Pelodiscus sinensis: one gene and its partners. The protein of the gene in region 3 interacts with the protein of the main gene of each other region in a biochemical or structural test. Links are inferred from orthologs where the notes say so. Each region holds a gene or a part of one and is shown on either strand. Other genes may lie near its edges.

Region 1 (7,970 bases), on a different chromosome or scaffold from region 3:
CCAAGGACCTGGTCACCGCAAGCAGCTTCCAGGTCCAGAGGAGGTCCTGGTAGAAGGCCGGCAGCTCAGAGAGGTTTCGCAAAAGACCTCTCATATAAAGGAGCTGCTGGTCATATCGGAACCTTCGGAAGTGGTGAAGGAAAGCAGGTGCCAGCATGCTCCATGCTGGACTACCTGCATCATATAGGAGCCTCCGCAGGGCCTGGAGGTGGAGGACACGGACACGCATGTGCAAACATGTCAGGCCCTTCCCTCCCTCCTCCAGGGGACTGAAAGTGCTGCCCTGTAGTTAAGGTTGCCTACCATTTTCCATTTTAAAACCCCGTTCCTGGTTGCTTATAACTTGTGCCAAATTTTAACGGGTGGGACCGAGATTTAGAGCCCTGCACAGATACTAATGTCTACCCATGGATGTAGATATCCGTAGATAGACCTCGGGATCTGCAGATCAGCAGGGAGCTACTCCAAAGAGACACTGCAGCCAATGGAGAGAAGCGAGGTCCTGGTGTGCACAGGAGCCAATGCACCATGCTGGCAGCACAGTTGTTCTGCCCCCAGCTGCGGTGTCTCCCGTCTGGGGATGTACAGCCCTGCTGGTGACCAGGAGGAACGGTACAGTCACCCAACCAGGAGGAGATTGTGATGGACCCTTCCCCGTGCTTTATGAAATGGCTTTATGAACACCAATATACATGACTCAAAGATGCTTCGGACAAATTAACTCATGTAACCTTGTCATGGCTCCTTCCCCACTCTGGCACGATAAATGCAGAAGTGGGGGCCAGCAAAAGTACCCCAAAACCTTATCTACCAGGCTTTGGTATAAAACTTCCCCCCAAAATCTTAACCTAGATTTTGGGGATAAAAATTCCGCTGCCACCACCCAAGTATTGATACAAAAATCAGGGGAGAGATCACTTGGGAAATCTCATCCCTAAAGTACAAACTAGGACACAAAAATTAATCCATACCAGGTTAATAAAAATAAAAGAGAAAAAACTTTTATTATCACCACAATATTCCTGTTGCAAGCATAATGACTAGATGGAAAAGTAGCAAAATAATATACTAATGGAGGAGAAATCTACCACGGGCCAGGAACTTAGTTACAAAGGAGAGCAAACCCATTTTTAAATGCACAGACATCAGATCCCATTTCCCAAACCATAAAACAATAAAACCTAACAGATTTATCTAAACTTTATCCTACTTACAGACGTGAAGAGTATTTTCTTAGTGGGAGACATCCTGTTCCCTTCAATAGCTGTAGAGAAACTCCCAGAACAAAAAGAGAGAAAAACCAAAAATTCCTTTGTCCCAGTTTGAAATTCCTACCTGCATTCCTATTGGCTGAATGCACCTGACTTAGGTAAGGTTAACCCCTTAGTTCCCAGGCTGCTGGCTAACCCTCATGATCATGACAAACCTATCAATCTTCATGTCATAATCCACTGGATCTCTTTATCTTATTCTGGTGTATGTATCATTCTTGTGTGTAAAACTAGATGCATGGAGTATGGGATTCTTTATGGTTTTAAATGTGCAAAGGAAAGCCATCAAGAGTGTTTCCAATGCTGGGATGCTTCAGTGTCTGGGCAGTCATATGTAAGTTGCCTTTTGTCCTTAAGTCTTAGCAGGGGTTTGTCTTAGGAAGTCACATGACCTCCCTAACTAGTAGCCTGTGTCTACACTGCTGGGTTTTTTTGGAAAAAGATACGCAAATTGCGAACTGAAATTTGCGTATCTTTTTCCGCTTGTTTTTTGGAAGAGGCTTTTCCGACATTTGGCCCATCTACACAGGACCAAAAGTCGGAAAAACTTCCTCTTTCGGAACATTCCTTATTCCTCATAAAATGAGGAATACAGAGATGCTGACAGAACATGCCCACGTTTTCAGAAACTGTTCCGAAAATGTGAACACATTCCCTGGACGCGGCAGAGTTTTTCCAGGATAAACTCTGCAGTCTAGACATAGCTGTAGGGACTGGTCAGGTAACTTCTCATGCAAAAATGGGAATCTTTAAAACAATAGGAAACTAGCGGGTCTTTGTTTTTGGCTGGCTGGCATTCCACACCCAAGGCAAGGACCCAAAGACCCCAGGGTGAGGAGCTGCCCTGGTTTGAAGGCTTACTAGGAAAGGAACAGTTTTAGAGTGAGTTTGTAATGAGTTTGTACCGGGGTTTTAGTGTTAGAATTAGCTAAGAGTTTTCTGTTATTTTAAGTTTGTAATCTACTTTGCTCTGCCCTTTCTCAATTATTGCCTCTTAAATCCTACTGCTTGTACTTAATAAAATCACTTTTATTTACTATCAAGCCTAGTTTAAATAATTGTTGCCTGGGGGTAGCCAGTGTGTACATTCCCCCTTTCATTGTTAAAGGGGATTCACCTAAATAATTCCTTTGGAGTTCTGATCCCATTTGGGGAGTGGTATCCTGGGAAGCTGGGCCCCAAACTCCATTTCCTTGGACCTCAAGGCTATGTCTAGACTGGCATGATTTTCCGCAAATGCCTTTAATGGAAAAGTTTTTCCGTTAAAAGCATTTGCGGAAAAGAGCGTCTAGATTGGCATGGACGCTTTTCCACAAAAGCACTTTTTGCGGAAAAGCGTCTGTGCCAATCTAGATGCGGTTTTGCGCAAGAAAGCCCCAATCGCCATTTTCGCCATCGGGGCTTTTTTGCACAAAACAGTTTTTAGCTGTCTACACTGGCCCTCTTGCACAAAAACATTTCCGGAAAAGGGCTTTTGCCTGAAGCATTTGCGCAAGAAGCACTGATTTTGGACAGTAGAACGTCAGTGCTTTTGCGCAAAATCAAGCGGCCAGTGTAGACAGCTGGCAAGTGTTTGTGCAAAAGCCATTGCTTTTGCGAAAAAACTTGCCAGTCTAGATGCAGCAGAAGAGTTTTAGTGTTAGTACTGCTTCTCGGGGGAAGAAGGAGCAGTGATCTCAGCTCTGGTCCTTGGCTGGGGGAGACCAGGAGCTGGCCCAGCAGGACAGAGTGGTAAGAAGCTAGATGGCAGGAAGGCAAGTGGCAGTGGTCTTGTCAGCACGCTGGGAAACCCTCCCAAGGAGTCTTCTGTGACTGCATCCCATCACAGAGATGCTGACATGGGGCACTGTCTCTCTGGTGTGATGGGACCACGCTCCTCTTCATTGGCCAAAGTGTCTCTTGGGGGTAGAACCCTGCTGATCTGTGGATCCCGATGTCTATCCATGGATATCCACATCCGTGAGTAGACATTTGTATATGTGCAGGGCTGTACCAATGTTTTCTATGCCAGGTTATTGACCTCAAGCTGAATATTTTTGTAAAGTTTCACCTAAAACAGTTCAGACATTTCCCAGAATAAGATGAGGGGAAAACAAATGGGTTTGTTCATGTTAAAAGACCTCTTACAGCTATTCAAGAAGCTGTAGTGAAATTTGGCAGGAGGATCAGGCTGGAGTCAGGGCTGTGCCTTTCACCAGCTCTGTGAAAATGTGCCAGGCTTTGGCCTCTACAAAAATGAAATTTGCACATACTCTGTTAAAAGTATTTGCGCAAAATAATGCCAGTCTAGACGCAGCCTGGTTGTTGTCTCTCTGTGCCTCAGTTTCCCATCTGTAAAATGGGGATTATGGGCCCTCTGACTGGGTCTACATTCATGAGCATCTGTGGCATGCTCGGCTAACTGCTGCGAGAGGTGCATAGAAACACACACGGACCGTGTTGTGCCCGTGTGAGGTTTGGGGGGGGATTGCATATGGGCTGAGGCAGAAAAGCAATAGGGATAAAAGAATGCATCCAGGCCTGAGTGGTGAATGCTGCGTGCATGTTTGGGGATCAGGCAGCACAAAGGTTGCCCTGGGGGAACTTTGTGAGACATGTTGCTAACTGTGGAGCATTAGGCTGTGAAACTTCAATGTGTCCCCAAGGGGCGCCCTACTAGCAGGGCCCAGCTGGGCTTGCACCCCCATCTTCCGCTGGCCCTAAGGGCGTCCCGCTAGCCGGGCCCAGCTGGGCTTGCACCCCCCCAATCTTCCACTGGCCCCACGGGCGCCGCGCTAGCAGGGCCCAGCTGGGCTTGCACCCCTATCTTCCGCTGGCCCTAAGGGCGTCCCGCTAGCCGGGCCCAGCTGGGCTTGCACCCTCATCTTCCGCTGGCCCTAAGGGCGTCCCGCTAGCCGGGCCCAGCTGGGCTTGCACCCTCATCTTCCGCTGGCCCTAAGGGCGTCCCGCTAGCCGGGCCCAGCTGGGCTTGCACCCCCATCTTCCGCTGGCCCTAAGAGCGTCCCGCTAGCCGGGCCCAGCTGGGCTTGCACCCCCATCTTCCGCTGGCCCTAAGGGCGTCCCGCTAGCCGGGCCCAGCTGGGCTTGCACCCCCATCTTCCGCTGGCCCTAAGGGCGTCCCGCTAGCCGGGCCCAGCTGGGCTTGCACCCCCATCTTCCGCTGGCCCTAAGGGCGTCCCGCTAGCCGGGCCCAGCTGGGCTTGCACCCCCATCTTCCGCTGGCCCTAAGGGCGTCCCGCTAGCCGGGCCCAGCTGGGCTTGCACCCCCCCCATCTTCCAGTGGCCCCACGGGCGCCCCACTAGCCGGGCCCAGCTGGGCTTGCACCCTCATCTTCCGCTGGCCCTAAGGGCGCCCCACTAGCCGGGCCCAGCTGGGCTTGCACCCCCATCTTCCGCTGGCCCTAAGGGCGTCCCGCTAGCCGGGCCCAGCTGGGCTTGCACCCCCCCAATCTTCCAGTGGCCCCACGGGCGCCCCACTAGCCGGGCCCAGCTGGGCTTGCACCCTCATCTTCCGCTGGCCCTAAGGGCGTCCCGCTAGCCGGGCCCAGCTGGGCTTGCACCCCCCCCCCATCTTCCGCTGGCCCTTTAAGGCCGCGTGGGTGACGCGCCTTCCTTCTTGGAGGCCCCGCCCTCGGGGGACCAGGCAAAGGAGGGGGAAGGAGCGGAGCAGGCAGGCTATTTTTAGCCCAGGGTTCCGTCACGTGACGGGGAGTGACGTCACCGAATGTTGTTGTTGGTGGTGGGGCGCGGAGCGGGCTGCGCGCAGAGCCAGCTGCAAAGATGGAGGAGCGGAGGCGCTGGCGGTGAAGCCGCGGGCAGCCGGATCCCTGGCGCGGAGGGGCTGGCCAGGGCACCCAGCCAGGCGGGGCCCCGCTGCAGCCGCCCACCGGCCTGGGTAGCAGGTAAGGGGGGGGCCGCCCCCAGGGGACACAGGGCGAGCGGCTCCAGCGCCTGCCCCATGCCAGCGCCGGGGAAGGGCAGCCGGCTCGGCCCGGGCCCCGGGCAGGGGTGCAGGGCGAAGCCCCCTTTCGAACGGGATTGCACCTGCCACAGAGAGAACGGGGCAGCCAGCCTGGTCCAGGTCACTTGCCCGGCTGCGGGCTCTGGGGCAGGATATTGGCCGGCAGGGAGCGCTGAGACATGGGTGGGTTACTGGGGCTGGCTGCTGCATTGGCACCCTTGGGGGTGTTTGCTAATGCACCTGCCCGAGACTCTCCTCCTCTTGCGGGGAACGGGTTGTGGGTGGGGGCCAAGGCAGGGGAGCAGAGGCTGTGCCTGTGACACAGAGCGCTGGTTATGAAACGGCAGCGCTGTCCGCATGGTGGGGTGGGGGGATCCTGCCTCCAGTGCAGATGGTGCTCAGGACTGGCTGAGCTCCAGTTTGGGCTGTGTGTATGTCTGGGGTAGGTCGGGCTGGGAGGATGCGCCTGGGGCTGTGAGACGGGGTGTGTGCCCATCACACCTCACTAGCCTGGGCTGAGGAAAAGCCACTTCTTGGAAGCAAAGAGTGGCATGTGGCTGTCGATGGGCAGAGGTGCTGGGGGTAAGGGAGGACCAACACAGGCTGGTTTTTCCTCTGGGCCTTTAAAGAGGGGGTCATTCTGGAACTCCACAAGGGAATGCATGCTTTTCCACCTCCTCTGCATCCTCTTGTGCCTGGCAGTTGCAGCTTCTTCAGGCTAGTGGGCGGGAGTGGGGAGGGAGGCCTGCCTCCATCCTTAGATCCCTTTGTCTGGAAACCTGCCTTGTAGGAGCTTAAACTTTGTGCACCCCGTGATGCCTGCATGGGAGATCAAGAGGATGCAAAGCTTGTTCAGATGCATGAATGCCCTCCTCCTGCCCCTTGTTTTGAATCAAAATCTTGTCTCTTGACCTTCTTGCTAGAGGGCTTGGTGCTTCTTTTCCCATCTCTAGCTGGCCTGGGAGTGGTGGGAGAAGGAAAATGTGTGTCTGTTATTGCCTGGGAGACAAAGGTTTGCTGATGCCTTGTCTTGCACGCTAGCCGTGTGCTATAAATACCTAGGCAGAGGGAGTGCGCATGCGGGGGGAATGAAAAGGGTCCTGAGAAGCGGCAGTTGCCCTTAAATAATTGATCCTTCCTACTTGCATCTTTTGGAGGAGGACCATCTGAAATACTGCAGCGCTCCCAGCTCCCTGATGGGTGATGATTTTTGTTTGCTCGGTGCCAGACCTACTCTGCTAGGGGATAAGGTGCAGTAGCAAGTGCTGGTCTTGGGGCTCTTTTCCCTTTTGCTTTTGGAGCCAGATTGTTTCTCCGGTGCGGGATGATGGGAGGGGTAGGATTTACTCCCGGACCTGCTCTCCCTTCTTTCCTTCTCCATCTGTGCCTTGTTATTCTTGCAGGTGAAATTGCAAAATGGGGCCATGATAGGAAAGGCATTCCTCTGGGAAAATAGGTTTGCTAATGGGTTGTCTGTGTTCCTTTCAGATCAGCATGCCAGGACCAGCATATCTCTGTGCTGCCAGTGGGGAGCCAGACTTTGCTCTCAGCCACGCTGGTGTAAATCAGGACTAACACCATTGACTTTGGCAGCATTGCTGTGCATTGATGCAGGTGTGGCTGAGAGCTGAACCTGGCCTGTGAGCAGGTACGCATGGTGCAGTAGGCAGTCTGGTGACCCCCATGGGATCATAGAGGTTAGAGTTGAGAGACTGGTCAAGTGCCATCCAGGGCATGTGGGAATAGATGACAGGGCTCCCCTCTCCTTCCCTCACATAGCTGGCTGCCGGGAAATATTTCCTAGTATTCATCCTCGTTTTTTCCCCCCTGCATTCCTGTCCTCCTTGCGTAGTGACAAATCCCTCCCTCCCTGTGTGCTTACACCCTTTCGGATGTCTGCGGAGTATTACTATTTCTGTCTGCCTGTTGTTTAACTCTTTCAGCTGTGAGGCCGCACCCTTCGTTATTTTGCTTCTCTTCTCTGAGCTCCCTTCTTGCTAGCTCTGTACCTTGGATAAGGTGTGAGCCTCCAGATTCAGTCACTCCTGCCTTGGAGGAGGAGAAGGGTTATAGAGATCTCAGTTGGGATCAGAGCCTCATTGTGCTGACAGCTGGACCCTCTCACCATAAAAGATAGGCCTGCTCAAAGGACCTTATAGTCTGAATGGGGGCATGGGCAGGAAGGGGTTAATGCCAAGATGAACATACAGTTCCATACACAGCATTGAGAAGGGACTTTGGTCGAGTGGTTTGAGCTGGGGGGGATTGGTAGGCAGGACTCCTGGGTTCTAGCCCTTGCCTTGGGAGGAGAAGGTAGTCAATGGGTTAGAATGCAGATGGACATGACTCTTGCTTTGTTTCTCTAATTTAGACAGAAATTAATGAAAGGAAGTCCTGTGGCCTGTGTGATATGGGGTCTTGGCCCAGAGGGTCACAGGAATCCCTTCTGGGTCTGCCGAATGAAATGCTTGTTAGTCCCAAAAGCTCAGAAATCACCAGATGGGCATAATAAATCTCCCAAACTTTTCTTTTTTTTTAAACGTTGGGTTCTTATTATTTGACTTCCAGTTTTTCTGCCTTTTGGGGCTTCATTTTTTCAAGCTTCTCTTGGCCACCACAAGGAGCAGAGAACTATCAAGGTAAATGAAGGCGGAGAGGCTCCTGCGTTCACGCATCTCCTTTCAGAAAACAGTGGCTGGTTGCAAGGCAGGCAGGGAAATCCCAGGTGCTGGCAGGGC
Region 2 (7,948 bases), on a different chromosome or scaffold from region 3:
GATTTACAGTACGACGTGGGAAGAGAGGGCTTCTTGCGCAAGAGCTATGCTCTTTTTTTACAAGTGTAAGACTTCTTGCGCAACAGCTCTTGTGCAAGAGGGCAGTGTGGCCGCGTGGCAGGTGTTTCTTGTGCAAGAAAGCCCTATGGCTAAAATGGCCATCGGAGCTTTCTTGCGCAAGAGAGCATCCACACTGCCATGGATGCTCTTGCGCGAAAGCACATCTCGCACATGGCAGTGTGGATGTGTTCTTGCACAAGACTTCTTGCACAAGAACCCTTGCACAAGATGTTCTTGCACAAGAACCCACCAGTGTAGACGTAGCCTCTGTGTTTTCAATCTGCTTTTTTTCAGTGGCTCTGGAACACCTAGTAACCAAGTCTGCTTTACGAAATACACTGCTTTTATGAACAAAACACCGGTTTAAGGCTGTGAGCCGATCCCTGTGTCCTAGAAGGCAGGAGGTTCTGTGTGCACATGCCTGAGACCGAAAGGTGAACTATGAAGAAATTACAGGTTGGGTGTTTTTCAAGCTCTCTGTGCAGGGAAGTTAGAGAGCTTGGGGGTGCCCCACAGGAAGTAATTCCCAGGGAGGTGACGGCGGGTTAAGGGAGAGGGGAGGGGATTTCCGTGCAGACTTTTTGAGTCCCGGTTTGCTGCTGGGCTCCCTGGATGCGGGTGGAACACTTGAGATGTTTTGGCAAATTATCAGCCCTTCCAATCTCTCCGTCCTTGCCCAGCCTGGCGCGGAACCGCGGAGACTCCGAGCCCCAGCATGCAATGCTGCTTTGGACTCTGACCAGCGCAAGCAGGTGCGGACTACACGTGAGGAGCAGCAGCAAGCGTTCGCACACAGAGACCAGGATTGACCCAGGGTCTCGGGAGCAGAGCGGCAGAGCCATGCCCAGCAAATCAAAGGGGCAGCTCCTTTGTGTCCCACGCTGTGTCCTGTGCCAGGGCAGGCAGCCCGAACACCTGCCCCCAACCCCACCGGTCAAAGATGTCACACGCTCCACTGGGATTTCACCGGAGCGGTGCAGCAAGCCACTGGGGAAAGAGCCTCCGCAGACGCAGTTACATAACATGGGAAATCAACATGCAGAGCCTTTGGGCCAAGCCAGTGCAGAGCTGCTGGAACGGGAGTGCGGTGATGAAATAGGCTTTTCTGCGTTGTAGGCGCTGGCTGCCAGTCTGTATGCCCTGATGTGGCGAGGAGGGACCGGAAGGAACAGCACTCAACAAACAAACCATTACAACGCTCAAGTCTGGGCAAGACACAGGGCGTGGACGGGAGTTGCCAAATCCGGTTGTATTCCTTAGAGACGACGACAGCAACTGTAGGGCTTCGTAGTCACACTCTTAATGGGCCTCTCTGCACCGAAACTGACACCCAGGTTTGGGGCCTGGGAATTCCAGGAACAAGCCGAGGGGTCAGGGAATGACTCAGGACAATGCAAAGCAGCTCTGCTTCCCCAGCGCTTAGCCTCTGCAGGGTTCACTGATAAGCCTCCCAGAATGGGATCTAGGCCAAACGCAGGGTCTGGCACCAGCACCCATGGCTGGACCATACACATTTGGGGTCATCCACAGACAGTGATCCTGGGTACGTGTCGGGCACAGTGGAAGCAGCCAAAAGGGAGGGGGCTGGACATGGAAGGAGCCATGAACATGGGGTGTCAATATGGACAGCCCTCTGGAAGGGCTCTTCATCCAGGCATGGAGCTGGGGACAGGAGTTTGGTCCCTGGGCAAGAAGGATCACCACTATTTCTCCAGTGGGAGCCACTTGCCCAGGGAGTTTGTGGGGCCTCAGGGGCAAAAGTCGCTGGAGTCCTGTTCCATTGACTCGGTGACGTCATGTGAGCCAAGCGCCCACTGCGCACTTCATACAAACTGCAGAGACCCCCAGGCAGGGGCGACCCGGGCTCGGGGAAGAATTCTCTGCCGCAGGAGCAGCTCAGAGCCAACATGGGGCCCGGGGGCAGGGCTGTGTCTGAAGGCTGAAGGGGAGGTACCCATTGAGGGCTTTGGAGATTCTGCAGCCGGTCCCTGGGGCTAATTGTGCTCCCGCAGTGCAGGGGTGGTGTAAAACCCGCTTTGTCCTGCCCCCGACTGTGCTTCTCGGGAAGCGTGGCAGGAAGACTGCCGTTCTGGGGTCCTGTCTACACTACGGGAGAAAGTCGAACTAAGGTTCACAACTCCGCTCCGAGAACAGTCGAATTTCCGCGGCATCCCCACTGCAGGAGGACGATGGGCGAAATTCTCCCATCAAGATCCCTTACTCCTCGCAGCCTGGTGGAGAACTGGAGTTAACGAGTGCACCGTCAGCGGTTGATTTAGCGGGTTCTTACGAGACCCCCAAAATCGAACCCAGGAGATGGATCTCTGGCGTGTGGATCTCGGGAGACATGAGGACGAGCCCCGAGTCTATGAACATGACATTTGCAATGGCAAGAAAAACACCAACGTCAACATGCTCAGGGGAAGATGGGAAATGCCGGAGTGGATCAGACCATGGTCCTTCTAGTCCAGATCCTGTCTCTAGCGATGGCTGGTGCAAGAGGCCTCAGTGGAAGGTGCAGGAACCTGGCAGATGTAGAATAATTTGACCCCCGATTAGGTCTCATAGTTAGCGATTGCCTGAGGCACGAGGTTTTATCGTCCTTTTCTAGACCATTCGGTATTTTAGAAACTTTTATCACAACCTCTCCTGTTGGTGCCACTCTAAGGTAACAGTCCCTAGCTTTTCAAACTCCGCACAGGAGAGTTTTTCCAGGCCTGAGTCAGACTTGTGGGGATTTTCTGACCCTCCTCTAATTCTGCAGAATCTTTCTGAGCTGGGACGATCCGACCTGCACCCAGTATCTAGACGAGGCTGCACCGCTGGTTTACATAAAGTCATGAGTCTCCCTAGTTCTCTATCCCATTCTCTCTGCTATCGAATGTCTTGCAGCTGCCCAGCGAACAGAGGCTCCCACTGAGCTGCCGACAGTGGTCCCCAGGCTGCATGGGCGAAGCAGCCGCCTGTAGAGCTAGCCATCTCGCTGCTCTGCACAATTAACAACATTGTGACTCGCCATTAACACCATTCTGTGCTTTGCTAACATCTTTTCATGCAAAGATCTCACAGCGCTTTACTGGGACTAACAGTTTAAGCCTCACGACAGTCTTTTGGGGATTGATTTGTGCATTCATCTCCTTTACCCACCAGTGAACTGCAGTGCCTTCTTGGGTAGAGAACCACAGCTGTCTGACCACTAACAGAAACAATTCCTATCAGGAAGTGAACAAACACCAAGATCCTGCTGCTCTATTATCCCCACCCCTTGTGGAGTCATTCGTATTGGTGGAAAGGGAGTGCAAACAGGGTATAAAATCCAATCCGATTGGTAGCTGGGGCTGGGCCAAGCTAAATACCAAAGTTGGGCAGTAATTTCTTTGATCACCCAAGCCAAGGTTTTATATGCATCATACATAAGATGACACTTGTAACCGAACAGCACCTGGGAGCCCCACACTGGGGCATGGCTCAGAACTGACTGGGAAGAAGGCTGCTGCTACCTACAGAATCAGCACCATCAGCCACACAAAGTGTCTTTGGAGTTCGCCTGCTCCGGAGAGCAGATCGGATCAAGTAAACGATGCTGCGGCATTCCTCTCCCTGGCTGGCTCGGTCACCCTGGTGAATGCCATTACTTCCCATTTAGCAATCCTGAATTTCATCAGCCATTTTGTTGCCCTGACACCCTGTTTTGTGAGATCCCTTTGTAGCTCCTTGCAGCCTGCTTTGGACCTATCGATCCTCTGTCATTTGTATTGTCTGCAAATTTTGCTGCTTCACCGTTGACCCTTTTTTCCAAATTGTGTATGAATACGCTGGCCAGCACCAGTCCCGTACAGATCACCGAGGGACACCGCTAGAGACCTCTCTGCATTGTGCAAACTGACCATTTATCCCTACCCTTTGTTTTCTGTCTTTTAACCAGTTACTGATCCAGGAGAGGACTTTCCCTCTGACCCCAAGACAGCTTCCTTTGCTTAAGAGCCTCTGGGGGGGAACCCTCCCACAGTCTGAGTACACTATATCCATTGGCTTATCCTTGGCCACATATTTGTTGGGCTGCTAAAAAAATTCTCATGGCTTGGTGAGGCAGGCTTTCCCTTTAAAAAAAAATAGATGAGTCTTCCTCCAAAATAGTGTGTTCACCCATGTGCCTGATCAGTCTGATCTTTACTCTCCTTTCAACCAGTTTGCCTGCTCCTGAAGTTAGGCTCACTCGCCTGCAATTGTCAGATGGATTCTGGTGCCTTTTTAACAAAAATCCCTCTCACACCAGATACCTCCAGTCCCCGGTCCAGAGGCTGGCGTAAGGCACAGGCGAGATACCAGCGCCACTATTTCATCAAGTGTGTATTTCAGCCCTTTCCAAATACCACCTGGTCCTGGTGACTGATCGCTGTTCGGTTTGTCATTGACTGGGTCGGTTCCCCCATGCCTCACCAAACAAGAGAGGCTCCGGGGGATCCCCTTCCTGCCATCCTGGGGGGGAAGAACACAGAATTGAGTTTCTCGAGAGTCCCTTTGGCACCCGCTCTCCAGGGGCCTCTCCACTGTTTGTGGCGCAGGCGCCCTGCTGATGGAATTGGTTTAGTCTCTAGGGTGCTAGGACCCAGGGTGGGTTTTATTGTGTTAAGTTACAGACTAACCGCCCCCCCCCGCCCCCCCGTGTTGCGTCTTTCGCTACTTGCCCTTCGCCTTCTTTCCTGGCCTGATTAGTCTTTGACACTTGCAGAGTGTCCCCCCCCCAGGAAACCCGCTGCCTCCCCAGCGCCAGCTCACTAGGGAATTCCCCTCCCAGCCCCGGCCCGGCCAGCCGTGGGCGTGACAGCAGCCGGGCCCCACCCTCCAGCCTCTACCCCCCGCGCGGGCCGGGGCCGGGCCCAGAGCGCTCTTGCGGCGAGCGGACACGTGTGCGCCCGGGCCGAGCAGAGCCGCCTGGCGCCTGACGCGAGCTCCCGGGGCGATCTCAGGGCCGAGCCCCGCGCCGGGCAGGGCAGCGACATGCAGCGGCTGCTCCTGGCTCTCGGCGTCCTGCTGGCGGCAGGTGAGGAGCGGGGCGAGCGGCGGCTGCGCGCAAAGTTTGTTCCCGACCGGGCCGGGGCGCGCCGGGCGCTGGCCCCGCCGCAGCCCGGTCCCCGGCCGGTGCCCACGGTCCCGGCGGGCGGGAGGCTGCGCTTGCGTAACGGGCCGGGCCGGGCCCCGCGGGAGCCGTTCGCAGCCGGCGGCGGGGCGCGCACCAGAAATGCCCGGGCCGGGGCGAGGTGCCCGGCGCTGTCCGCTCAGCAGCGCTTCTCTCCCTCCGCAGGACGCTCCGCAGCGGCGCCCGGAGCCGCGCTCGAGGTGCTGCGGGGTCCGGGCTCCAGCGAGGCGAGCGGCGGCCGGTCCGTGGCCCCAGAGCTCCGCAGCGGGCAGGGGCTGGAGGAGGAGCGCGCCCCGGACGGCGGCAGGGTCTCGTCGGGGGATTATTTCCTGGAGCTCCCGAGAGGTGCGTGTGTGCGGGCGCGGGACGGGCAGAGCCAGGTGGCCTCCCTGCGGGCGGGCGGGGCAGCCGGGCCGGATCCGGGGGTGGGGGCCTGAGCGTCATGGACCCCACCTTGCTCTGGGCGCCGGGCTCCCTACGCGGGGAGGGACCCGCTGGCCCCCGGGGAGGGAGTCGGACGTAGCCGAATTCACAAGCAGGTGCCTCGCTTCCCGCGTGTCCCGGGACTCCGCCGGCTCCCCGCGCTGCTGTGGAGTTGGGGGGGGGGGGGCTCGCACGGGGGCCTGGCTTGGGAGATCGGGGCGGGGCGGGGCCGGGCCGGGGGCAGGGGGAAAGTCTTGTAAGTCTGGGCTCTGCCCGAGCAGGAGCGGCCCCGAGGGTAGCCGGGGGGCCGAGCTGAGGCTTTGCCTAATGTGGCACTGCCCTGCCGGTGGGAATTGGCGGGGGAGGGAGCCAGGCCAGCACGTTCCCACGGAAATTCCTGCTCCCTTGCTTTGTGCGGCTCGGTTGTTTTTAGCAGTTCCTGGGCGCTGGCTCTTTGCCGTCCTGTGCCCCGGGAGTGCCCTGCCCCTGCCCCTGCCTGGCCCCCGCTACATTCCCGGTGACCCCCCAGCCCAGCACCGCCTCTCCCGTCCCCCTGCCGGGCTGCCTCAGAGGGCCCTGCTTGCCCACCCCCAGTGCGTCCCCCGCCCCGCCAGCTGTTCTGAACAGCCCTGGGGTGGGAGGAGACTGCAGGGGCTCCCCCTCCCCAGGCCCTGACTGACCTGGGGGCAGCAAGGGGGAGCATGTGAAGTCTCTTGCTCCCTGCCCCACCCTGCAAGGGGGCACTGGGCTTAGAGTCACCCCCCAGGCGCAGCTGGTGACCAACTTCCACTGCTGAGCCTCTGGCAGGGCGGGAGGAGACTGGGGGTCCCCCCAAGCCCTGATCGACCGGAGGGGGGGGAGTGTGCGATGTCTCCTCCTGCCCTGCCCCCGTCCTGTGGCGCTTCTTAGCAGCGTGCGCCCCGTCTAGGACGGGAGCAGGGCGGGAGGAGGCTTCGCATGCTCCCCCAGGCTCCGATTGGCCAGGGGGCGAGGGGGGGAGCACGAAGTCTCTCGCTTGCTGCCCTCAGGTGTGTGGGGCTGTCGACCGCCAGGGCGGACTCAAAGCGCTGCCGGGGCCCTAGGCTCTGATTGGCCGGGGGAGTGGGGGAGCGGCAGGGCCTCCGTGGGCTGGATGAAACTGATTGGTGGGCCCGCGGAGGCCGTTTTGCCCCCTATGCCCTGGGGCCCCTTCCCAGGCCCAGCACTCAGTCCCTGGCCACGGGCAGCCATTGGTAACGTGTAATGGCTTGAAAACCCGGGGTCCCATGGGCGCTGCGCACCCCTCCTGGGAGTCTGTGCCAGGCGTGGGCTTCCCGCCTCGGCAGGATGGTCCCCAGGTCCCCACAGGAAGGTCTGGGACTCCGCGTGGCTCCATGCAGCTGAGAGCATTGCATGCCACCCCTCTGAGCGGTCACCCCGGGAGTCACTCCCTGCCGCCCACACCCCTCCGATCAGCCGGGGGTTAGTCACTGAGCGGGGGGCATTCGGGTCCGGCGTCGCCCTGCTGGGCTCTGCCCATTCGTGTCTGGGGTCTCTGGGTGGCCACTCCCCTTGAATCCAGCAGCAGAGGGGGCGGCAGCGTGGTCGGGGGCAGGCTTTGAACAGAGACACGCTCGGACCTGGTGCTCCCAGTGTGACCCCACTGAGGTCACTCACTGCGCCCACGCAGGCCGCCTGCCTGCCGCGCCCTGACACTTTTCCTCCTTCCCCGCCTTGTCATGGTTCCTCTCCAGCTCTGACGTGGGCCCAGCTTTGCAAAACCAGGCTAATCTATTGCACCACAGGGGCTGGGCTGGAGAGACTCATCCCCTCTCCCGGCCTGTCCTCATCGCCAGCCTTGCCCCTCACTTCTCCTTTCCTGCCCATTCTCTTCTCACCGCCGGCTCTCACAGCCCCCAGCCCTCCGTCCGGAGGCAGCCCCAGAGATGTCTCGTTAGGAGGGGCGCTTGGATACGACCCCCGCACCCCCTATGCTCTCTAGGAGAGCGCTTCTCGGGGGCGGGGGTTGCACCCACTGGGGAAGGGAAGGGAGGGTCCTCAGGAGCAGTCGCTGACAGAGGGCACACCTGGCGCCCCGCATGGCCTGGCCCCCCCTGGGCATTTTCTCTCGCTAAATGACGTGGGTTGGTCGGTGCCGCCCTTGGCGCCAACCAAGAGGATTGTGACACTAGTTGAGGAAGGGTGGCCCGGGGGGATGGGTTGACACACACAGCTGGAGGGCGTCCTCTGTTCCTCCCTGGCCTTGGACGCCTCCCTCAACCCCCCTCTTCCTCGTGCCTCTCGCCGCTGCGTCATGCCCAGCGGAAGGCAGCTGGCCGGGGCACT
Region 3 (7,209 bases):
CAAAAGGGCCAGTGTAGACAGCTGAGATTTGTTTTCCACAAAAAAGCCCTGATCGCGAAAATGGCGATCGGGGCTTTTTTGCGGAAAAGCACGTCTAGATTGGCACGGATGCATTTCTGCAAAAAGTGCTTTTGCGGAAAAGCATCCGTGCCAATCTAGACGCTCTTTTCTGAAAATGCTTTTAACGGAAAACTTTTCCGTTAAAAGCATTTCCGGAAAATCATGCCAGTCTAGACGTAGCCATACAGACTAACTTGGCTACCTCCTGAAGCTTCTTTTGCTTATGGGGGTCAGAACTTCCAAGTCTTGTATTTGACTTGATTTGGAGGAGAAAATAAACCTTTATCTTAATTAAAACAAGAACCTGGGGGGTGAGAGGGAGGCAAGAGGAGGGTTACTGGTGGTTGAATCTGCTATTCTAACATTTTCTCTGCATACTGTATATATGGCCTTGCTGAAGGACAAGGGGCTGACTTGAAGGTCAAAAGCAAATCTTTTTCTTTCTTTTTTTCCATCTTCCTTATTTCATACCTTTCAGAATTGCTCTGCTTTTCACTTCCTTTATGGTCACTGATCTCTAAGGTATGTCAGCTCTGGAACTCAGTCTATGTGTGTGGAGGAGGATGTACATTCTGAAGGCAGACGGACTGTTTTCTGAGGAGAACTCTGTTGTTCTTGTTCTTGTCAAGCGACAGATGTTATTGACCAGGCTGTTAGAACAAAGCTAACGTATTGATAAATATTGGTTTAAATTTTTAGTATGGTCCATGGCTTCAAGCAATAAGTGGTTTCTTTACACTATTTGCATACACCAGGAGGCCAAAATATGGGTAGTGAACACAGCAACCTTTACTGTGATGGCTCACAGCACTGAGTGTGTGTCGGGGGTGGACAGGAAAAGGGTTGTGGGTAGACGGGGAGAGAGAGGTAGAGCTGACAGATGCAGATGTGAGGGAGTGCACGGTTTGGATCAGGATCAGACTCTGTTACCGAGTTGGCTAATTCCAAAGACGTCTTCAGATGTGGTGACCGTGTAAATCGAATTTCAGCTGAATGGAGCCCGCAAGAGACTGTAATGCACAGACCTGACATATTGTCTATATCCCAGGGCGGTCTGGAGGTCTGCTAGTGCTGAGACAGAAATGGTGAGAGACAATCAATGCCACCAAAGAGTTTGCCAGCTAGATATTTCCTAACCCAAGCTGTGAAAGATGGTTCTAGTTTGGGAAGGGTGGGCGGGCTGGGGGGTGACATTTGGCAACTAGACTTTGTTCCAATTTGGAATGAAAGCAAAAATGGAGATTCTCTGGAAGGGGTTGGTGCCATGGACCCTGGATGCCCAGCCATGGGATACACAGCTCGAAGGCAGTTCATCCACATGGCTCCTCAGCATTCAGGCATAAAAACAGGCCCCTATGTTCCACTTTGTCAGAACCAAACAGTCTCAGCAGAATGCTTCTATTTCAATGCATTCTGATGGGGGAAGAGAAAACAAATTTCACTCCAGTTTTCTGTCCCACTCTATCTGGTGATGTCTTTTGCAGGCAACATGGAGACGAAACGTCTGTAGGCAAAGAAAGTGCCTTGAAGAGCCTCCATGCATGATATAACCACGGAAAGAAGTGCATGGCATGCAAGGTGATGTTAGACTGTCAGACTGTTCAGGAGTCCATGTGGAAAAGGGTTTGAACCAGGTGCCCACAGAAAAGTTGCTCTCACCATTGACATCATTCACCAATTTGTTGCCTTTATTGACAGCTTCAGCAAAGAAACTTGGGACCGAATCAGAACTTTCTTTTCACCCCCCACTGAAAAGTCCCCTCCCAGGGAATGTGCAAGCTAATTCCCAAGGGAAAGATCTAACAGTTACTTATTAGATTGTATGTTCTTGGCCAGGTACTATCTTCTGTGTTCGTATGGCATCTAGTACCAAAGGACCTTAGACTCTACTGCAGTACAGATGATGAAAATAAGAATGCGCATTCATGAAGTTAAATAACTAGTCCCTTTGCAGTTACTAGTCAAGGGGAACTAGTCAGGCGAGTAAAGCGTATGCATGTGCATATGTGTTTGCACGGTCAGAGCTATGGAACAACGACCATGTTTAAATGTGTATTTGTACAACATCTACTAGCATGAGGGCTTGGTCCTGACTGGACAATCAGGACTTGGTCCTGACTGGAGAACCAATGTAATAGAACTATTAAGGCACAGCTTGACACTGGGGGAGTATTTAAGTGCACTGTGGTCTGAGCTATACCTAGTCTGCAGATGAATGAGAACGTCATTTGTAGGGTCATCAATCCAGTATCCTTTGAAAAACAGTGATAGGAATTAAGTCTTTTAAACAACTCAATAGCTTTTACATTATTTTTTAAAAAAGAAAAGTGAAATGCACCAGTTCCCAGGAAGGACTGGGGAGGGAGGGGGGTAATTTTCAGCATGCTGCCTGGGAATGTAGCCCTGGGAGATCTATTATTGCTAATGGGACTCATGCGGCTTAATTTCATGCAAGCTACACTAGAAATGTACCCCTAGCTGTCTGCGAAATTTCAGTTCTGAAATCAAGCCTCTTAAAAGTTAGAGCAGGATAAACAGACACCTGCAACTGCTCCTCTCCCTCCACCATGGATTTTTTTCTACTTTACAAAGCAAAACAAAAGACGCAATGGCTGTGCAGATTTAAGGAATTTAAAAGGGAGAGGGGGTCATATGCATGCAGACTGGCAGCCAGCAAGTGAAATTTCATTTTGCTGCCAGGTAAAATGGCAGAGTTATAACCCCTGAAATATGGGGTTTAGTTGATGCCTTATCTTTAACTATGCTACTGAGAATGCCACACTGTAATGCTTATGTAATAACCCTCAGTGCTGTCTCTTTCATTATAGGGCCTCTGTTATTAGGCTGTTCTTGTTAAATGACTGCTATCATCTGGTCCCAAAGTACATTAAATCCCATTATAATTATAAACACACTTCCTATAACATTCTCTTTAGATTACATTCACACTGCTTTATCCCTCAGGGTATCTTTGTACTAATACTATTCTTACTTGCTATTTTAGCAGACAATATTGGGTCCCACACTACTTGTACCATGCAAAGGGAGAAGGAAGCATTCCCATTACTGAGCAATATTTTGATGTCCCCTGGAAACGAATCTTGTCTCATTTATTTCAGGCACTCTCCCCTTTTATATAAGGAGGCCTGGCTTTTAAAATGTGTTGAACTTTGGCACCCTACTATTCTGGAGTTTATGAATTGCACTATTCCTATATCTCCATTCCAAAGAGTAGCATTATGAACAAGAAGTTTGGTTGAAACAAAAGACAGGACAATGTAGCACTTTAATGACTAACAAGATGGTTTATTAGATGATGAGCTTTCGTGGGCCAGACCCACTTCCTCAGATCAATTTGTGGAAGAAAATTGGCACGACCATATATACCAAAGTGATACAATAAAAAAAAGTGAACACATATAAAATTGACAAATCAGATTTTAGAACAGAGGGGCGGGGGCAAGGGGAGACGGTTAGTGTCTGTGAGATAATGATATTATGCTGTTCATTTCTCTCTTTCTATTAAAAAAAAAGATTTTTTTTTGCAGCAAATCTTTGTCCCTGGAGTTTCACTGCCATTCTTATACAACAAGGAGTCCTGTGGCAGCTTAAAGAAGAACCATTTTATTATAAGCTTCTGAGGGATAGCTGAATTAGTCCCTAACTGGAAAAACTTAAAAAACAATGAATAGTCTAGCAGCACCTTGGCAACTAACAAAATGGGTAGATGGTATCATGAGGTTTTGTGGGTACAACACACTTCTTCAGGTGACTGGAGTATTAGAAGTCCAGATCCAAGAATAAATAAGGGGGAAGGGAGAAAAAAAAGAGGAAAAAAGAGTGAATTGAATTGTTCAAGTTACTAGCGTTTACAATTTACAACTTTCCTGAGTTGTAAGTTGCAACTCACGTCATCAGTTCCTGCCCTTTCTATACACGGTGCTTGTTTGGAATAGTGTCTTTATCTGGGCAAAACAGCCCATATCAAACTGGCGGGTACCTAATATTTGGCACTTTCCAGCCAAAATTTGGCACCATGCCCATGGCTTGTCTTTGTTACTTTCTCCATCTCTCAAACTCAGGCACCCTTCTCCCTGCAACACTTGCTAGCAAGAGGCTGGGCGTTCAAAGCGCTGAGTTTATTAAGCAAGGGAGATTTTTTTTTTTTTGTACCAGGAATCTGGGGGCTCGTCTGGCTTTGTCTTGTTTCAAGTGGCTTTCTCCGGCCTGAGGCCTAATTGAAGATTAGGATCGGGGGTTAATTGTGTATTTCTCCGCTGGGGAAGATCGGATGCTTCCTAGGGCGAGCCTGCCGCGAGTTAAAGCCATGGTGAGCGAGGCTGGCAGCAGACGTCCGCACCGCCGCCTTATCGCTCGCCTCGACGCAGTTGTCACATTAGAAGTTCAACAAGTTGAAAACGTCTCTTGTGTAGCGTGGCTCAGCCAGCGACACCCGCACGCTGGTTAGGCGGGGTTCTTTTCCGATGTACGGATTTCATGATGAGCACGCGGGGGTCTTACCCCCCTCGCTGCTGCAGCCCCGGCGCTGGGGTGCGTTCCTGAAAGCGGAGCGTGTGTGCACCGGGGGGAAGGACTGGGAGCCTGAGCTCCGAAGCGGGTGCCGCGTTGGCCGGGGGCGAATTGGAACCCGGCTCCGCGGGCGGGTGGGTGGCTGAGCCCCTTGGCTCCCGCCCTGAACGAGCCGCGGGGCGGTCAGGGGCCCAGCCGGGTGCGTGGATCCCCTGCGGGGCAGAGGCGAGGGGGAGGCGAAGGCGATCGCGGGGAGGCGGGGGCTGGCTCTCAGGCAGGTGCCGGGACGCAGCCGGCGGAGGGGCTGGGCTGGGGGCGAACGACCCCTCCCGAGCCCCACCACCCAGACCCGCTGGGGACACGGTCTGCGCGCTGCTCCCCTAGCGCCCCTCGCCCGCCCCGTCCCCCCGGCCCAGGCCGGCTGGCGCGCAGGGTGCAGCAGGTGCTGGCCCGGCGCGCTCCGATCCCCGCGGGGCCGCTCCGAGCCGGGTCGCAGGCATTGGCTCCGGTTCATTGATTCCCCAAGGCAGCCTCCTGCTCCTCCATGTTTGTTGTTGGCAGAGGCCAGCGGAGCCAAGCGCTGTCCAGCAGCCCGCGGGATCCGCGCCCCCTCCCTCCCCAGCCCCTGCGGCCGGTCCCCAAAGCCGGCCGCCGGGCCAACCCCGCGCTCCCCCCCTCCCCTCCATGCAACTTTTCGGTGACTTCCCTTGGGCTGGGGCAGGAGCGGGACCAAGGGTTTTTCCCCTCTCCCCCCGCCCCCAACTCCTGGGGGCTGCTCGCCTCTGCCCGGGGCTTGGCGGAGCAACCCGGGAAGCGACGGGGCTACAACAGACCCCCGCTTTCCTCTTGCTGCACCCCTCCCCCCGCGCTCCTGCAGAGCGGCTCGCCCCTGGCTACGCGGGGTGCCCCCTGGCTACTTAGTACCCGCAGCTTCCCCCCCCCCCCCCTCAGCGCGGCTGCTTCTGCCCCCGGGAGCGGCCCCGACTCAGCAGGATCGGGGCCTCGGCCCGTTTGCAGCTCCCCCGCCCTGGGCAGGACGAGCTGAGCGACGCTTGGAGCGTGTCCTAGCGCCGCTGCCTTGTGGAGGCCGGGCCAAGGCCGGGCGGGCTCATGGGCTGGCGAAGGAGGGATGCTCGGCGAAGCTCGTTCCCACCCGTCTCCCTCCCAATCCGGAGTCTAATTCGGATGGCTCGGAGCTCTGGCCGGGTCCTGCCGCGGGCCGGAGCTTTGCGCGTCTTTACGCTCGGAGCCCGGTGTCCTGCGCCTTGCGCGAGCCCCAGCCCAGCCTACCCGTCCCGCCGTGCAGCGATAGCGCTGGGGCCCCGAGCCTCCTGCCCCCGCCAGCCGCGTGGGAACGGGCGGCGCCAGACCGGGACCTCGACACAGCTGCCTGGCGCGAGGCAGGGACTCAGTCCGGAGGATGCTCGAGGTGCCCGAAAATCGCTTCTCCCGAGCTGGCGCCCTGAGGGGTCCGGCGTGGGGGGGGGGGGGGTAACTCTTCCCTCCCCTGCTGCCAGGTGTGAACCTGTTAGTACCCCCCCCCAGCGCAGTGTGGAAGGGCCGGGACTCGCTCCCGTTCCCACTCCAGCTCCAGAGGCGCCAGCGGGGTCCCTGGAGCGTCCCGAGTCCCGCTGCGCTCCCAGGGTGGGTGCCCCCCTTGGAGAACCTCCTGGCCCGGGAGGCGTGGGAAGTTTTCCGCTCCAGCATCTCCCCGGGTCAGGCGGGCGGCTCCCCGCGCCTGGGAAGCGGAGACCCCCCGGCAGCCAGGGCGCGCCGCGGAGGGAGGGGGTGGGGGGCAGAGCCTGGCGGGAGGCTCGGGGCGGGAGCCGGGTGCGGGAGAGCGGTGTGGGCACCAGCCCCGTGCCAGCAGTAAAGATGGTGCCCGGCCCGGGCTTCGCCGGGGTGGGAGCGGCCCTGACGCGGGGCGCCAGCCGGCGCGTCAGTCCGCGCGGTGTTGATTTGCTAACCTGCGAGCAGAGAGCAGCGGGGCAGGATGAGAGCGGGCACTGCGAACTGCCACATGCCGCCGCGGCTGCCCTAGCCAGCCCCGGTCCCGCACGGCGGCGGGGAGGCGCCTGCCATGCACTAGCCCGTGAGTGCCGAGGGGGGCGGCTTGCAGCAACTTGCTCCGCGGGGCGGGGGTGTCGGGGGGCTGCTCGCTCGGATGCCCGGGCAGGAGCGATGCGCGGAGATACGCGGGCTCGCCTGTCAGCGCTGCGCCTGGCCGGTTCTCCCTCGGGGGAAGGTGGGGGCGAGGGGACACGGGGGGGGGGGTTGCAATGGGCGGGGGGGGGTTGCAATGGGCGGGGGGGGGGCTGTGGGTCGGGGGGGCGCTGGCAGGAGGAAGCGCAGCGGTTGTTGTGATGTTCCGGCGGAGAGAAACATGTAACCCCCCCCCCCCCGTTATTTATTTGCTGCTTGCGGGGGGAGGGGGGAGCGGTTCGGCCGCCCCGATGCGTTCCGAGAGAGGAGGCTCCTTTCGGGGCCGGGGTGGGTGAGCCGGGGGTCGGGGGAGCGCCCTGATTTTGGTTGATGGCTTTAGTTTTGCAGCGCCGGTCCATGTGGGGGGCTCGTGCGGGGAAAGTGTCCGCCAGGGCCCCTCCGCTCCCTTCCCCCGGG
Region 4 (6,878 bases), on a different chromosome or scaffold from region 3:
TTATAATGATTTTTTTTAAACTATGACATGACAATTGTTGCACAAACCAACATTTTATACAGTAAAACTCCATTTTAAACACACAGCAAATCAGAAGGAAAAGGGAACAAGGCACAGTGTATGGGCCAGAATGTTACCTGTAAGTTTCCTTTGATACAGTCATTTTGTGTTGTATGTTAACAGTATAGAAACAGCCTTGAAGTCATCATGAAAATTTGTTACACAAAACTATCTACGCTTACCAAACAAAATAATTCTGTCTTATGGTTTGCCAATTGATAAGTGTCTATTTGGCTCACGTATGTGGACAAGCATAATTTTGTAATGCTAATTTACTAATATCTCAAACAAGATAATACAACATAAGATATAAAAACTATCATAAGCATGAAATGCATAAGATTCTTTTACAAGTCCACACTTTAACCACGATGAATTTTGGTTACCATAAAAAAAAAATCAAAAGAGCTCCTTTTAATGGGTGTTGCATTCGATAGACTCACTTTTTAGCGAAGCATGTACACTGTGGGCCATCATCATGTTAGCACAGGCACATGTGCAGAAGGTGCCAGAAAAGATTCTGAGAAGTTTTATAAGAACACAGGCCACCACAACTCAGTTGTGTGCCATCTCCCTATTATAACTACGCAGTCAAAGCAGTAATTAATTACAGTTTAAAGAGCTGTCTTCGCTTCTTTATCCAGCAATCGCTTTTATATTTTAGTTCTGGGTTATGAATAACTGAACCATCCAAAGTCCTATCTTATCCAATGGAATACAGCCGGTCCCCAAGTTGCAAATGGTCGACTTACGACTGTTCGCAGTTACGACCAAAACTGTCGTAAATGGCAGACCCTGAGTTAGGAACGCAATCCGCGCTTACGAACAGCGCAGTCACATGTAACTCAATGGGGTCCGACTTACGAACAAACCGAGTTACGACCCACTTGCTTGGTCAGTAACTGGTTCGTAAGTCAGAAAGAGGATATATTTGCATATTTTCTAAACGTAATAGGTATTATCCTACCTATCTATTTTATTATATAATACACACACACACACACACACCCACACCCACCCACCCCCAAAATATATATCTCCCTCCCTCCCTCACTGGGGGGGGGGGGTAAAACTAAAGGACAAATTTGACTTTTGTTTTAAATTGGCTTAAAATGAAGAATTCTAAACAGCTTCATCAATTCACAAGTGAGCTCAACCTTTCTTATGCCAGAACCCCCCGCCCACACCCTTGCCACTCCAGAGAGCACGTCTTCTCTAGTAAATGGCTGAAAGGGACAGACTGTTGCACTGGCTAGGGAGGGAGCTCTCTAGGCAGGGCAGTAGGAGGGACATGAGTACACCCACACCCTCACTACTTCCATCTGCAAGGATCCCCCTGCCGCAGGAACACTCTCCCCCCCACAGACACCCCCAGTGCCCGTGACAGCCTACCAATTCCCCCACACACATACACCAGTGACTGCTGAACAGAGACAGGCACTCAGCCCTCCAAACCCCTGCACACAAACACAGCAACGGGTGGGCCGCACAGACAGCAAGTATCGGACAGACTGACCCACACAGCTTCCCCCGTACACAACAGAGCCAAAGCCTGACAGACAAATGCTACCCAACATGTACAAGTGACTGTGGACAAACACACAATTCCATCCCCCCCAATCGCACACACACATACATCCCATGTGTGGCTGTCCGATAAACATACAGTCCCCTCCGCACACACGCCACAGACAACCCGCCCCCACACACACACCCCCATGTGCCAGCCTGACACACAAAAAACCCCACCCACACATGCATATGCATGCACACACACAGCCTGGGTGCCTGACACCCTCCTCCCCCCCACACACAGCGCCCCAGTGCCAGACCCTCCCCCCCACACACAGCGCCCCGGTGCCAGACCCTCCCCCACACAGACAAACCCAGGGTGTCGGACTGCCCCTCCCACACACACACACTAGGTGCCGGACTGCCCCCCTCTCTCCCCACACACACCCCAGATGCTGCCCCCCCCACACACACACACAAACACAGACCAGGTACTGGCCCCCCACACACACCCCTTATGTCGGCCCCACACACACACGTGGACATGGACACCCCCCCCCTCCGCGTTCCAGCCCCCACACACACCCCGTGTGCCCCCCCCACACATCCCTTGTGTTGGCCCCACACACACCCACCCCCCGGACGCGCAGCCCCCGGACCGACCGGCGGCCCCGCCCCGCGACACGCGCTGGCGCGGCCGCTCCCCGCGCACTCACCGGCCGCAGCGCCCCACCGAGCCCCGCGCGCAGCGAGGCGGCACCGCGGCTCCAGAGAGGGCGGAGCCGCCGGGAGCCGGCGAGGGCGGGACACACCACAGCCCCGGCCCCGCCCGCCCCATTCACAAAAACCCCCGGCCCCGCCGCGCCCCGCGCTGACTGGCCGCGCCGGGGGTCAGTCACCTCGCCACCCGCCCCCGGCACCCCTTCGTCCGCCCTTATTGGCGAGCACTCGCGGGCCCGCCCTCCCCGCGCTGCCGCCCAATCGCAGCAGAGCGTGACCCTTCAAGCGGCTCAAATGCACCCGCCACTGCGGAAAGTACGCCCCCCATTGGTGCTCCGACCTGCCCATCAAACCCTGGTCCGGAACCCTCCGCGGTTCTTCGCTCCGGCCAGGGAGAAAAATAGCCGTGCGCGGCCCATCCCTTTAAGGGTCCGGCGGCCGCGAGCCGCCTCCGCAGAGCGAAAAAGCAGGCGGACAAAAATACCCGCAGCCTTAAAGGGGCCGCGCCGCGCCTGCCGCCTCCCCACGGGCGCGGCCCCCGGCGGAGCGGCGCGCGGAGCCGGTACTGACCTGTGCGGCGGCGGCGGGCGCCCGGGGCGGTGGCGGCGGCGAGCCACGGGGAGGGCCCGGCGCGGGGCGGACACAGCGGCGCGCGCGCCACCAACGGACTCAGCCCGTGATGGGATCCGCCATTTTGGAATTTTTAGATGGAAAGTCACGTGGTGCGACCATGTTTTCCCTGCACCAATCAGGAAGCGGCGGCTATTTATAGCACCTTCCCCCCCCCCCCCGCTTCCCCCTCCCATGAGGCACGAGGGGGGATGGGCCGCGGAGCCGGGCGGCGCGCGCGATGCGGGGGCGGGGCCGTAGAGAAACCGCCTTGTCCCCCCCGGCTCCCCACATCGCCCCCCCTCCCAAAACCCCTCCCGACATCAGCCCCTCCCAACCCCCTCCCCACATCGCCCCCTCCCGAAACCCCTCCCCACATCAGCCCCCCAACCCCCTCCCCACATCGCCCCCTCCCAAAACCCCTCCCCACATCAGCCCCCCAACCCCCTCCCCACATCGCCCCCCTCCCAAAACCCCTCCCCACATCAGCCCCCCAACCCCCTCCCCACATCGCCCCCCTCCCAAAACCCCTCCCCACATCAGCCCCCCAACCCCCTCCCCACATTGCCCCCTCCCAAAACCCCTCCCCACATCAGCCCCCCAACCTCCTCCCCACATCGCCCCCCTCCCAAAACCCCTCCCGACATTAGCCCCTCCCAACCCCCTCCCAAAACCCCTCCCGACATCAGCCCCCCCAACCTCCTCCCCACATCGCCCCCCTCCCAAAACCCCTCCCGACATTAGCCCCTCCCAACCCCCTCCCAAAACCCCTCCCGACATCAGCCCCCCCAACCTCCTCCCCACATCGCCCCCCCTCCCAAAACCCCTCCCGACATCAGCCCCCCCAACCTCCTCCCCACATCGCCCCCCCTCCCAAAACCCCTCCCGACATTAGCCCCTCCCAACCCCCTCCCAAAACCCCTCCCGACATCAGCCCCCCAACCTCCTCCCCACATCGCCCCCCCTCCCAAAACCCCTCCCGACATCAGCCCCCCCAACCCCCTCCCCACATCAGCGCCCCCATCCCAAGGCCCCTCCCTACATCAGCCCCCCCGCTCCTCCAGCCCTCCCCCCAAATCCCCTCCCCACATCAGCGCCCCCCCTCCCAAGGCCCCTCCCTACATCAGCCCCCCCGCTCCTCCAGCCCTCCCCCCAACCCCCTCCCCACATCAGCGCCCCCATCCCAAGGCCCCTCCCTACATCAGCCCCCCCGCTCCTCCAGCCCTCCCCCCAAATCCCCTCCCCACATCAGCACCCCTGCTCCTCCGGCCCCTCCCCACATCAGCACCCCCCTTCCAAGCCTCCTCCCCACATCAGCCAACCTGCTCCTCCATTCCCCTCCCCACATCAGCCCCCCGCTCCTCCAGCCCCCTCCCTACATCAGCCCCCCTCCGTGTTCCTCCCCACATCAGTTCCCCCCCCCCGTTCCCACATCCCTCTCTGCACATCAGCCCCCGTTCCCCTCCTGCTCCCATCCCCCTCCCCACATCAGCCCCCCCCTTGGCACCCTGCCCCCCCCAGAACTGGATCCTTCTCGCACCAGCTCCTGCTCCCACCTCATCTCCCCACATCACTCCTACTCCCACTGCCCCCCCCCCCGCACCAGCCTCTGTTTTGTCCCTTCCCACAACATGTTCCCCACCATCCCATCCATCCTGCACTAACTCCTGCATGCCCTCCCATCCCTGTGCCACCATTCCTTCCTCTTCCTGGTGCCTCATCCCTCCCACATAGCTCTTGGCACTCCGGAGTCCAAACAGCTGTTTGCCATAGGTCCCACTACCCTGTCCCCTTTAACTAGTGGTTGTCCCAAACCCCACATAGGATGTTGCAGACTATCATGGCCCTTAAGAGTCAGGAAGAGTGGCCCTTTCCCTCGCATGTCTCCTGGATGCGAGTAGCTGGACAACCTCTCACATCTACAGGAGGCTTCCAAAGATGGATGCTGTTCCTCCTCAATCCTCCAAGGAGTGTGTACTAACTAGTCTTTGAACTCCAACAGCTCAAAGATCATGAGTCAAGCCTTCCTTCCCACATCAACAGAATTTGCTTAAAAATCCTGAGATTTTTTTAAATGTTTGGTCATTTTCTGTACCTTCTGATTTCACATTGTCAGAGTTTGCACGGTCATGCGTCTCTGAAAATCACAAGGGCTTGCAACATGCTCCTTAAATGAAAGCTGAGACTGTCACACCACGGGACGCTAGGCATTGAGGTTTTTAAGAAAACCCACTATCACGACTCTTGATAACACTGCAAGAATTGACAGCGCTGTAGAAAAGTCCTTGTTTTTGCCCCAACCCACTGGAGCTCAGGCAGAGCTTGGCAGGAATTTTTGGCAGGATTCGCCACATGAAAGCAAGGAATCCCTAAGACAGCTCCCCCCACACACGCACACATGCACCCCATTCTCTGCCTACCAGACTGGGTGGGGTGGTGGGACTACAGGATTCTGTCCTGCAGGGAGCTGGGGGTGGAAGAGTTTTAGCCCTGTGCCCAGGCATGCACCACCTGGTGGGGCAGATTGAGTATGTCTTGTGGCTCTTGAACTTCAAAAAATTATTGGCTGAAGCTTAGAGGGTAAGTTAAGCCACTCCTGTACTTTCTGTTCAAAGCAGGGGCTGAGCTCCTTTGCCCCTCAGCTTACACAGGAGGTCTTCTGGCAGGCTCTCCCTCATCCAACTCCAGATCCACCTCCACTCACTGGTGGATGGGGGGGAAATGCGTGTGTGTGCAATAAGCACAGCAAGGGCTCGGGATGACGTCAGCGAGGCTGCAGAGGGGGCATGGCTGAGGGAAGGCTGAATGTGATGGAGTGCAGAGAAGGCGCATGTGGAATGTGAGGGGGTGTGGAATGGGGTTGAAGTTTGAGTTAGCTGAGCCTTTATGAAGGTGAATTGGGCAGTGGGGGAGTATAAAGTCAGTGCAAGTGGGGTGGATGTGCACAGGAAGCACCGGCATGTGTGGCACCTGTTTGAGTTGAATTTTCATGCCAGTTTGGCTATTCCTGTCCCTAAACAATGTCATCTGTGTGCCTAGAGCCCTGCCAATGGCAACCTTTAACAACCTCCCCCCCCCCAAAACTCCTCCTCTTCCACATACACATGCCAATTCTGACTCAAAGACCTGGCTTACACTACCATGGGAGATCCATCTAAGTTATGCAGCTTCGGCTACACGAATAAAGTAGCGGAAGTCAATGTACTTAGCTCTACTGACCGCAGTATCGTCACTGCGCCGTGTCAACTGGACGCACTCTGCATAAGGCGGAAGCCCCTTTTTGTTTCCTTTCTAGTTTATATTGGCAGGGGGGGTGGATTGTTTGCTCATTTTCTTTAGTTGGTGAAATTTTGGGTTTGGTTCTGAGCTAGTTCTGGGCCAAGTTGCATCAGTGTGCATTTTACTTTTTTGTGTGTTAATTGCTAAGAGACGGGGACAAGGCTCAGATTCTGAAAGATATGTAGGTGCCTAAATACTTTGGAGGATCTGGACCTAAGTAACTTAGGTGTTACAGTTTATTAATAGCTGGTAGAACAATTCACAGAATAAGATTTGGAGGTGCTTTAAGTTCCTGTATGGGTCTGATTGAGCTGTGATCAATGCAGGACCAAGGTTGATTTACGTCCACTTTAGTGGCTCCATTTTAGGGTTCAGTTGGGAGGTGTTTTGGTCACTAGCATAATTAGAGCAGGCTCACTGCCCTAAAAGGGGTCATTCCAGCATCTGAACATAACTGGAGCCTTGATACACTGCCTGTATCCCATTTCTTCTGGATATTTCCCCTTGTGCTTGGAGCTGAAGGCTGGGACCTAGGCTCTGACTAGCTCTACTTCTGAAGGAATTCCCAACTGGCCAGATTTGCTAGCTTCACGGTCTTTTTGCAGTGCTGGAGTACCACACAAAGGTGACAGCAGAAAAGAGAATTGTACCCTAGAAGATGCCTTATAGTATAGCTATTGTCTTCAAGATTTGATGGA

Evidence for each region.
Region 1: the proteins of ZBTB16 (region 3) and HDAC5 form a complex in vitro, tested with the Homo sapiens proteins (2 studies listed by BioGRID). The link is inferred for Pelodiscus sinensis from reciprocal best matches to the Homo sapiens genes ZBTB16 and HDAC5.
Region 2: the proteins of ZBTB16 (region 3) and HBEGF form a complex in vitro, tested with the Homo sapiens proteins (2 studies listed by BioGRID). The link is inferred for Pelodiscus sinensis from reciprocal best matches to the Homo sapiens genes ZBTB16 and HBEGF.
Region 4: the proteins of ZBTB16 (region 3) and HDAC4 form a complex in vitro, tested with the Homo sapiens proteins (2 studies listed by BioGRID). The link is inferred for Pelodiscus sinensis from reciprocal best matches to the Homo sapiens genes ZBTB16 and HDAC4.

What each region holds. Positions count from the first base shown.
Region 1 is NW_027466028.1:523,649-531,618, reverse strand, and holds the start of HDAC5 (histone deacetylase 5), read left to right. Parts: upstream 1-4,967; 5' UTR 4,968-4,995; coding exon 4,996-5,173; intron 5,174-6,720; exon of another isoform or gene 6,721-6,880; intron 6,881-7,970. UniProt on the Homo sapiens protein: Responsible for the deacetylation of lysine residues on the N-terminal part of the core histones (H2A, H2B, H3 and H4).
Region 2 is NC_134727.1:2,131,934-2,139,881, forward strand, and holds the start of HBEGF (proheparin-binding EGF-like growth factor), read left to right. Parts: upstream 1-4,933; 5' UTR 4,934-5,061; coding exon 5,062-5,104; intron 5,105-5,365; coding exon 5,366-5,545; intron 5,546-7,948. UniProt on the Homo sapiens protein: Growth factor that mediates its effects via EGFR, ERBB2 and ERBB4. Required for normal cardiac valve formation and normal heart function. Promotes smooth muscle cell proliferation. May be involved in macrophage-mediated cellular proliferation.
Region 3 is NC_134736.1:3,729,186-3,736,394, forward strand, and holds the start of ZBTB16 (zinc finger and BTB domain-containing protein 16), read left to right. Parts: upstream 1-4,196; 5' UTR 4,197-4,390; intron 4,391-5,878; exon of another isoform or gene 5,879-6,019; intron 6,020-6,082; exon of another isoform or gene 6,083-6,107; intron 6,108-6,211; exon of another isoform or gene 6,212-6,234; intron 6,235-6,540; exon of another isoform or gene 6,541-6,682; intron 6,683-6,716; exon of another isoform or gene 6,717-6,835; intron 6,836-7,021; exon of another isoform or gene 7,022-7,080; intron 7,081-7,103; exon of another isoform or gene 7,104-7,209. UniProt on the Homo sapiens protein: Acts as a transcriptional repressor. Transcriptional repression may be mediated through recruitment of histone deacetylases to target promoters. May play a role in myeloid maturation and in the development and/or maintenance of other differentiated tissues.
Region 4 is NC_134717.1:63,920,789-63,927,666, reverse strand, and holds the start of HDAC4 (histone deacetylase 4), read right to left. Parts: upstream 3,012-6,878; 5' UTR 2,863-3,011; intron 2,855-2,862; exon of another isoform or gene 2,633-2,854; intron 2,441-2,632; exon of another isoform or gene 2,289-2,440; intron 1-2,288. UniProt on the Homo sapiens protein: Responsible for the deacetylation of lysine residues on the N-terminal part of the core histones (H2A, H2B, H3 and H4).